Danio rerio: one gene and its partner. The protein of the gene in region 1 interacts with the protein of each later gene in a pairwise test. Links are inferred from orthologs where the notes say so. Each region holds a gene or a part of one and is shown in the gene's direction. Other genes may lie near its edges. The genes, in order: tufm and fundc1.

The links.
Region 2: the proteins of tufm (region 1) and fundc1 interact in binary tests that used the Homo sapiens proteins (3 or more experiments, as listed by UniProt). The two-hybrid records come from large-scale screens. The link is inferred for Danio rerio from reciprocal best matches to the Homo sapiens genes TUFM and FUNDC1.

Annotation. Positions count from the first base shown.
Region 1 is NC_133178.1:12,128,789-12,133,349, reverse strand, and holds the start of tufm (elongation factor Tu, mitochondrial), read left to right. Parts: upstream 1-1,499; 5' UTR 1,500-1,520; coding exon 1,521-1,557; intron 1,558-2,130; coding exon 2,131-2,177; intron 2,178-3,586; coding exon 3,587-3,725; intron 3,726-4,561. UniProt on the Homo sapiens protein: GTP hydrolase that promotes the GTP-dependent binding of aminoacyl-tRNA to the A-site of ribosomes during protein biosynthesis. Also plays a role in the regulation of autophagy and innate immunity.
Region 2 is NC_133184.1:35,473,341-35,477,082, reverse strand, and holds fundc1 (FUN14 domain-containing protein 1), read left to right. Parts: upstream 1-1,314; 5' UTR 1,315-1,354; coding exon 1,355-1,373; intron 1,374-1,799; coding exon 1,800-1,956; intron 1,957-2,043; coding exon 2,044-2,119; intron 2,120-2,211; coding exon 2,212-2,340; intron 2,341-2,429; coding exon 2,430-2,507; 3' UTR 2,508-2,956; downstream 2,957-3,742. UniProt on the Homo sapiens protein: Integral mitochondrial outer-membrane protein that mediates the formation of mitochondria-associated endoplasmic reticulum membranes (MAMs).

The DNA of each region.
Region 1 (4,561 bases):
GCTAACTTACTTCATGTACAAAATGTAAACACGAGTTAGACAAACAAGACTTACCTTTTTAAATGCTGTGTGTCCGATTTAGCAGTAGTAGCAGACGTTACTTGGACGTGTGTCAAGTTTCCCCGCAGTGTAAATAATGTTACACTTGAGTTCAGTTCAGCTCCGTTATTATAAACACACCACTGCGGATCCAGAAGCTTCCAGATTCTACCTGCTGCTAGACAGCGGCGCGCGTGCACATGCCGTCGATGTGATATGACGTCATGAATTTTACCGTAATGATTATATGCCATCCTCGCAAAGAAACTTGCACTCGGAGGAAACCCACACGAACATCGAGAGAACATGCAAACTCGACACAGAAATGCCAAGCCGAGGCTTGAACCACCGACCTTCTTGCTGTAAGGCGATCATGCTACCCATTTCGCCATTGCTTTGGAACTTTTGTTTTTGATGCCTGTTTTTCATGTAATTGTAATTTACCAATGCACAATGAAAACATTAATAAATGCCCTCCTTGCATAGTTCTTTCACAACCTCTTATTAAGGTTTATAGTGTATAAAATAAACATTTTATAAGGATTTAATATACACAGAACCCATATTTAAAAGTAATTTACAGTTTTTTTGAACATTTATTGTATAACACAAAGTTACATTTGGTACATATCATTTACAATACTTTAATAATTAGATCATTAGCTCTGTTACCTGAGAGCCGCTGCTCCTCCACATCGAGAGAAGTCAGCTGAGGTGGCTTGTGCATCTGTTTAGGATGCCTCCTTGAAGCCTTCCTGGAGGCGTTCCAGGCATGTCCCACCAGGAGGAGGCCTCAGGGAAGACCCAGGACACACTGGAAGGACTATATGGCTGGCCTGGGAACGCCTCGGGATCCCCCTGGAGGAGCAGGAGGAAGTGTCTGGGGAGAGGAAAGTCTGGGGTTCTCTCCTGAGACTGTTCCTGCGATCTGGCCCCGGAAAATCGGTTGAAAATAAATGAATGAATGAATTACTAGATTATTTATAATGGTGCCAATAAAGAATGAAAAAGAAGAAAAAATATGAGGAAAAAACACAACAGAAATAAAACAGAACACAAAAAATTTAATAGGCTATTTAATCTGAGGATAGTTATTTAATACATAAAGAAATTGAGCAAAATAAGAAGATAATGTTATATTTTCAGAAATTTAGAGATTTAATAGAGTATACATATTAAAGGTCATGAAAATAGTACCTGTATATGTTTTGAGTGCTTTCTTATTAGGTGTACCTAGTACACTCATCTCTTGTACAAATGTTGGCTTGTGATTTACATTTATGAATTTAAAATCTGTATAAAAATGACAAGGCTTCTTATAAAGCATACATAAAAAAATGTATATAACAAATAATTACATTTGGAGTAGTAACGTACAATTTAGATGATTTACTGTAAGATTAAAAAACGTGTCCAGTGCGTCCAGTGTTGATGGCGTATGTGTATTTCTCCGCGCATGCGCACTTGTCACAGTCCGCAAAATGGCTGCGCTCGTTAGCGTCCGCGCGTGCCTCTCCGGTAAGTTATAAAATTCGCTTATTTTACCTTTCTCGTGCCACTGACACTATGTTCATGCAGCGAATAATCTGCGAAATATGTGTAATATTTGTGCAAATGCCGATGAGAGTGTGGAAATGGCAGTTACTGTGAAAACATGAAGGATGCTCGTGTGTTTCCCCAAGCAAGGTCACGTTCCTCAGGCTGTGACTTATATATATCGTACAGATTGAGTGGCATTATTGACATTAAAGCGTAAGATCTATCACAATATTTATATGATAGTTAAATATTTGTATTGTGTGAAGATCATACTTACGGGAAACAGATGAGGAGTGATTCGGTCTCGTGATGTTTTTGACAGTTGTTCATAATATAGCGACTTTGACGCTTGTAATATTTTAAGTTGTCCTCTGTTTATTAATGTGATGATAACATATTTTTAAGCAGATTTAATAGTCTATGTATTCCATTGTTTGCATTAGCACAGTATATTTATATATTATACAGTATATTTCCTGACTCGTGTTTATGAATGAATGAATGAATGATGATTTCTGTATTACATTTAAGCTTTTTTTGTTTGTTTTCCAGCTCTTCAGTTGACCTCTCCAAGTTTACTTCACAGCTCGTTTAAGCTGGTATGAGTTTCAGTTTTTTAAGTTTTTTTTTTTTGTTTTTATTAGTATGTTATTAAATGCATTATTATCTGTCATGGATTAGCAATTATTATTTGTTAATATCGAAGGAAAAGAAGATAAGTTAGATATTGTAAACTCCGAAATAATTGTGCAAAATATTTGTGACAAATTAGCCATACTTTGTTTTTGTTTTTTAACAGCCAAGTCCACAATGGAAGTCCAGGGCTTTATACCTTTTTATCCTCCATGGTTTTATTTCAAAATGTATGGGATTCTTTTTCTTTTGTTTAAAATCTGTCAAATAAAATTCAACTTAAATGCTTTATATACTTAAACTTGACGTTTGTCCAAATTCAATCTTTATCGGTTGGGTTAAAGTGGGTCAAAGGAATCTTGTCAGGCAAATTATGCAACAAGAATCATTTGATAACACATTTAAAGACTGTTTATCACAATGCAGCCTTAAAATACTCATTAATTGTCATTTTAAATCTATTTATATTTTGCTACTATTTTTCCAAGCACTTGATTTTAACCTATTTGTTAGCAACAAGTGTTTTAATCATCTAATATTAAAATATACTATATAATATAATGTTTTGATTACTTACTCTTTTATATATGGTTAGTATTTTGTGTGAATATTTATAGAATACTGAATGGAAATTGGAAATTGTTTCACTCATATCTGAATTTTTTAAAAATCTAAATGTAAAAACAAAATAAAAAGTTTTCTTTATAGAAAGGATAAAAAAAAGTCTTTAAAAGCCTTGAATTTAGATTTGAGAAGATATTTAAAAAATATTTTGGCTAAAACTATTTCTTCAGCCTGACAGACCCAAAAACTATTTACAATTACTATTATTATTATTATTATTATTATTATTATTATTATTATTAGACAGAACAACATTTTTTTAGTTAAGCCATCTAGTCAAATTGCAAGTAAAAATTAAAATGTGTGTCTGACATAAACATCATGTTCCTACAAAAATCAATAACACAACTAACAGAAGCAAAACAATGCAAAGTGTTTTTTTTTTTTATCATTTATGAATCCGTGGACCTATTTTAAATCCTCATATGAGCATGATCATTAATAAATAAATAAATACAAATTTATTCTTGCATACATTCATATTTCATACTCAGGAAGGTTTCAATCCAAAGTTTAGTCCCTGGTCAGTATTTATTTTTTTAAATCCTTAGCGTTTAGCCCTGATATGCATGAGTATTTTCATTGCAAATCTGATGATCTTAAATGTCTTATAAGTCAGTCTTAGAAAGGCCTTTAAAAATGTTTTCAATTTAACTTGTTAAACTCTGTAGGCACCCTGTGACATTTCCACTGGAGATATTTGAAAAAATAGCCTCATGTTTATTTATTTATTTAATTTTTTTGACCCTAGTGTGCAGTTCCTCTAAGTCGAAGGAATTTCGCTGCAGAAGCGAAGAAGGTTTTTGCTCGTGATAAACCCCATTTGAACATCGGCACTATTGGACATGTTGACCACGGCAAAACCACACTGACCGCCGCCATCACCAAAGGTACACTTTCAGCTTTATTTCATATAAGGGATGCTCCAATTGATTGTTCAGAGATTGGTATCGGCCGATAATTACATTTTATGACTCGATCGGTACTCTCCGATCTCATGAATCGATCACAGTTGTTGTTTACGGGTTTACACGTAGAGGAAGTGACACCCATGCATTGTATAAACTACCCCGAAAACCATGGAGACGAGTGTGTATTAGCAAGAGAACAGATCACAAGAGGCTCTGTGTGTTTTTAACATTATTGCAAGTTCACTAAAACCTGATTGAAAAAAATACATATAATAAATATACACATTTTTTTTACTTGAGTATTTAATAATATACCTTTTTGTATTGTACTAATTGCAATAAACAAATATGTATTTATAGGTGTGCATTTTAACATCTTATGCATCAAATATGCGCGCCAAATTTTTTCTTCATTGAGACATGTTGAATTACTTTCCCCTCATTTGTGATGTTTCTAAATGGCTTTGTTAGTCATTTTTCCCACCGCTTTTTTTTATTTTTATTTTTTATCGGTTTTATCTATTATTGTCTGTAAAGCTGTTTCTGACCATGACATGACCACAGTAAATTGTTATAAAAGACATGTTTAAGGGATTATATGCAACATCCTCCATTTATTCTCTCCAATAAGGCGAGATCTTAAGTATTGTACTTGGAGGGAAAATGTGCTTTATGCATTACAAAGCTTAAAGCATTAGAATCAGTACTCTGTATTGGCTGATCACCATGACAAGACATCGGTACTCGGTATCAGCTGCAAAAGTCCTGATTGAAGCATTCTTTCATTCATTCATTCATTCATTCATTTTCTTGTC
Region 2 (3,742 bases), on another chromosome or scaffold:
AATTGTATATTTGCTGTTGTTTAATAAAAAAAATAATAATAATAAAAAATAAATAAAATCATAGAATTTATGGCTTCATAATCTAAAGAAACTACTAAAAATATATTCATTCATTTTCTTTTCGTCTTAGTCAGAATATATATATATATATATATATATATATATATATATATATATATATATATATATATAATTATTATTATTAACATTTTTTTTTATATTCCATGGCTGTTAAGTTTATTTTGACCCTGCCTCTTTCTTTGATTTTTCAAAGTACAGCACATGGATCCAAATTCTTTAAGAACATACATTTACCCAGTGAATTTATTATTTATTTATTTAACCCTTTCATGCGCTACATGGGTCTAAAGTGACCCGTCTAAGTTTATTTTTTTACATTTTTCTATATCTATTTTATAGCTTGTGCATCAAAGGGTCAATAATACTTTATTGTACTGTACTGCATATGATGGTGTACTGTATTTATCCTTGTCTGTATTGCTGTAATGTTTCTCATAATAAAAATACTGTCTTTTTTAACTTCTTTCACTCTTTCTTCAACATCCCAAAAGTTGTATAGAATATGAAATATCTGTAAAAATATTAAAATTATTATTTGATGGTTGTTGTTATCAATGTTTTAATTATGTATACAACTATTATTAGTGTTTTAAATGTTTGAAAGCAGTAAATGTAAAAACTCTGTACACTTAAATTCTGCACAAAACGCACAAGAGTAACGTTAAAGAGAGAACGTTTTGTTAATTAATAATAAAAATACTCTCCATCCTATCTTCTATCATCCATTTTTGCTGTCATTGTTTTCTTTCTTTCTTTCTTTCTTTCTTTCTTTCTTTCTTTCTTTCAACACCCTGAAAGTTGTATAGGCTAGAATATGAAATATTTAGAAAATTATAAAAATTATTATTTAATGCTATTATTTATATTTTAATTATGTAAACAACTGTTATAGTGTTTAAAATGTTTGAAAGCAGTAAATGTAAAAACGCTGTGTTAAAATTATGGACAAAAAAAAACACAAAAGTAAAAAGACAGAGAGTTCTGTTATTTAAATATGCTAGGCGTCTTTGAGCTTTGAAAATCTTACAGACCTGAGCTTCCCCTTAGTAGTGGAGTATACACAGAAACATGTAAAATGCTTTCTGGTTCTGATGGTAGACAGTATTTTATATACTGAGATTGCACCATTACACTCTACGGACTTTGTGAAGTATTTAGTGAATACCACATATACGCAAATTTGGAATCGAAGAGTGATTATCGCACGCAAACTGCGCAGCATTTTACGTAAGAGCTTCCGCGGTTGCGAGCGTCGTGAACGCAGCCTCATAAAATGGCGGATCGCGGCGAAGGTAAATAAATTGGCTAACCAAACATTTGAATGAATAGTCTCGATTGGCAGCGTGTTTGTTTCACCGGATTTATCGCGTGCAACAAGATTCCGAGTGTTTACACCGTAGAAGAGCAGCATAGGTTTCGTTTATTTTGCCAGCAGCCGTTCAGTCTATACAGATACAACGCAGCTAAATTCAACCATACTGTTTTCATTCTCATTCGTCTTTCCATTCGCGTGCTGGTAAATTCATTGACACTTATTAATGCAAACAAATTAGTGTAATCACATCGTATTAATTTGAAATGTCAAAGGACGTGAACCTTAATGGTTGAAAATTCGTATATTCAGTGTTTACAAAGCTGGATCATGTTTGTCATCAGAGAACAAACATAGAATTACAGTATTCGTTTGTAACGACTGTGGTTAATGTTTTCACTTGTAGATGCAGAGAGTGAAGATGAATTGTATGAAGTGGTCAACATCACAGATTATGCCAGGAGGCATCAATGGTGGAGTCGAGTATTTGGTAACAGCACAGGTCCCATTGCAGAAAAATACTCTGTGGCTTCACAAATCATGATGGGTGGAGTGTCCGGATGGTTAGTGTTCATGTGAATGCTTTAATTTCTAATAAAACCCTTAATATTCCTGATTGTTATAAATAATAAAAAAATGTCCTTCTCTAGGTGTGCTGGATATCTCTTTCAGAGAGTTGGAAAGCTTGTGGCTACTGCTGTTGGAGGAGGATTTCTTTTGTTACAAGTATGAGTTCTTAAAATTAAGTTATGCTTTTAATTAGTATATGTTATGCTCAATGACATTTAATTTGTTAATCATCTATTTTCTTATTTCAGATTGCCAATCATAGTGGCTATGTGCAGGTGGACTGGAGGAAAGTGGAAAAGGATGTCAATAAAGCTAAAAAGCATTTGAAGAAAAATGCCAAAAAAGCTGCTCCTGAGCTCAATACCTTTATAGAAGATGTGGGTATACTTTCATATGCTTGTCATAATTTCATATACTATCTATTAGCTGTTATGACACTTCGCTTAACCTACATTTTGTTCTACAGTCTACAGAGTTTGTGAAGAGGAATATTGTTATCTCAGGAGGATTTGTTGGAGGATTTCTGCTAGGCCTGGCATCCTAAATGAAACCTGGATGTACTGTATTGCCTCTGATATGAGTACAGTAATATTGTCCCTTATCTTGGTATCACAGTGATACAGCACTGAAACATGTTGTTTGTTCAGAAGCAGTGAGTGCAATGGACATTTGCTGGACTTTTTTAATATGTTCCTCTACAATGTTATACAATAGCTAAAACATCCTGCAGGAGAGAGATATATTGTGCCAATAACTTTATAGAAAATTGTGGCTTTTATTTTGTTCATTTTATTTTAATTAGTGATAATGCATTCATTTGTTACATGTACAACTACTGAAGTGTTTCATATTGTATTTTGCTTTTGACGGTACATTATTTGAGGTAGATGTATCATTTCCCTAATATATTGTCAAAATGCATGAATTGTTTTGACGTAAAGATAAAAATAATGTTGTGGAAATAATAAAAAGTCTTTCTGGTTATGTATAGACTATTTGTACTTTTTGGTTTGTTTGTTTGTTCCTAAGTTCTAAAGTCGGCATTAAATCAGAATTAGCTTTTCTAGTTTTATATTTTTATAGTGCTTGTTATTAATGTGCACTTCATTATTTTGTAAAAAATAATTTGCCCTTATTATGTTTTATCCAACACTATAACCTTCTCTGCCCCCTCGAAATGACTTTTCTTTACTTTTGGTCATATGGATTGCCTTTAGGGCGGGACTATCAGGGCGTGTCTCATTTCTGTTCTATTTTGGGCAAAGTAGATGGGTTACAGCTGCGGGTATGCACATCAATATAGCATCATTTTTGTAAAACTTTATAACAGTAATTAATAGTAGACATTAATAAAATACCCTGTACAACTACTGTTTTCATGTTACTGTGACAGTAGGGGTAGATGTTAATGAAAAACAATAAATGGGAAATTTAATACATAATATAAATAATTCTTGTTTACTTCCGGCCACAACCGTATGTGATCTAGCAATAACCCTACTTTTGTCTACTTATCAGTCTTCCATCATTTTGTTAGCGATGCCTATCCTCCAATGATCCAATCAGTTCCTGAAGGTTTTTTTCTCATTTCAGAATCGTTTCAATTTGATATGAAAAACAGGACAATCTTAACATCTGTTTTATGGTGAATTTAAATGACAATATATTGTGTTTGGATGAATCTGAGTGTTTTACAGTGTTGCAAAAAACAACGACTTTAAAAAGTAAAAATAATAATAATAATGTATCTGTGTGGGTTAAGTTATTAAATGCTACCCT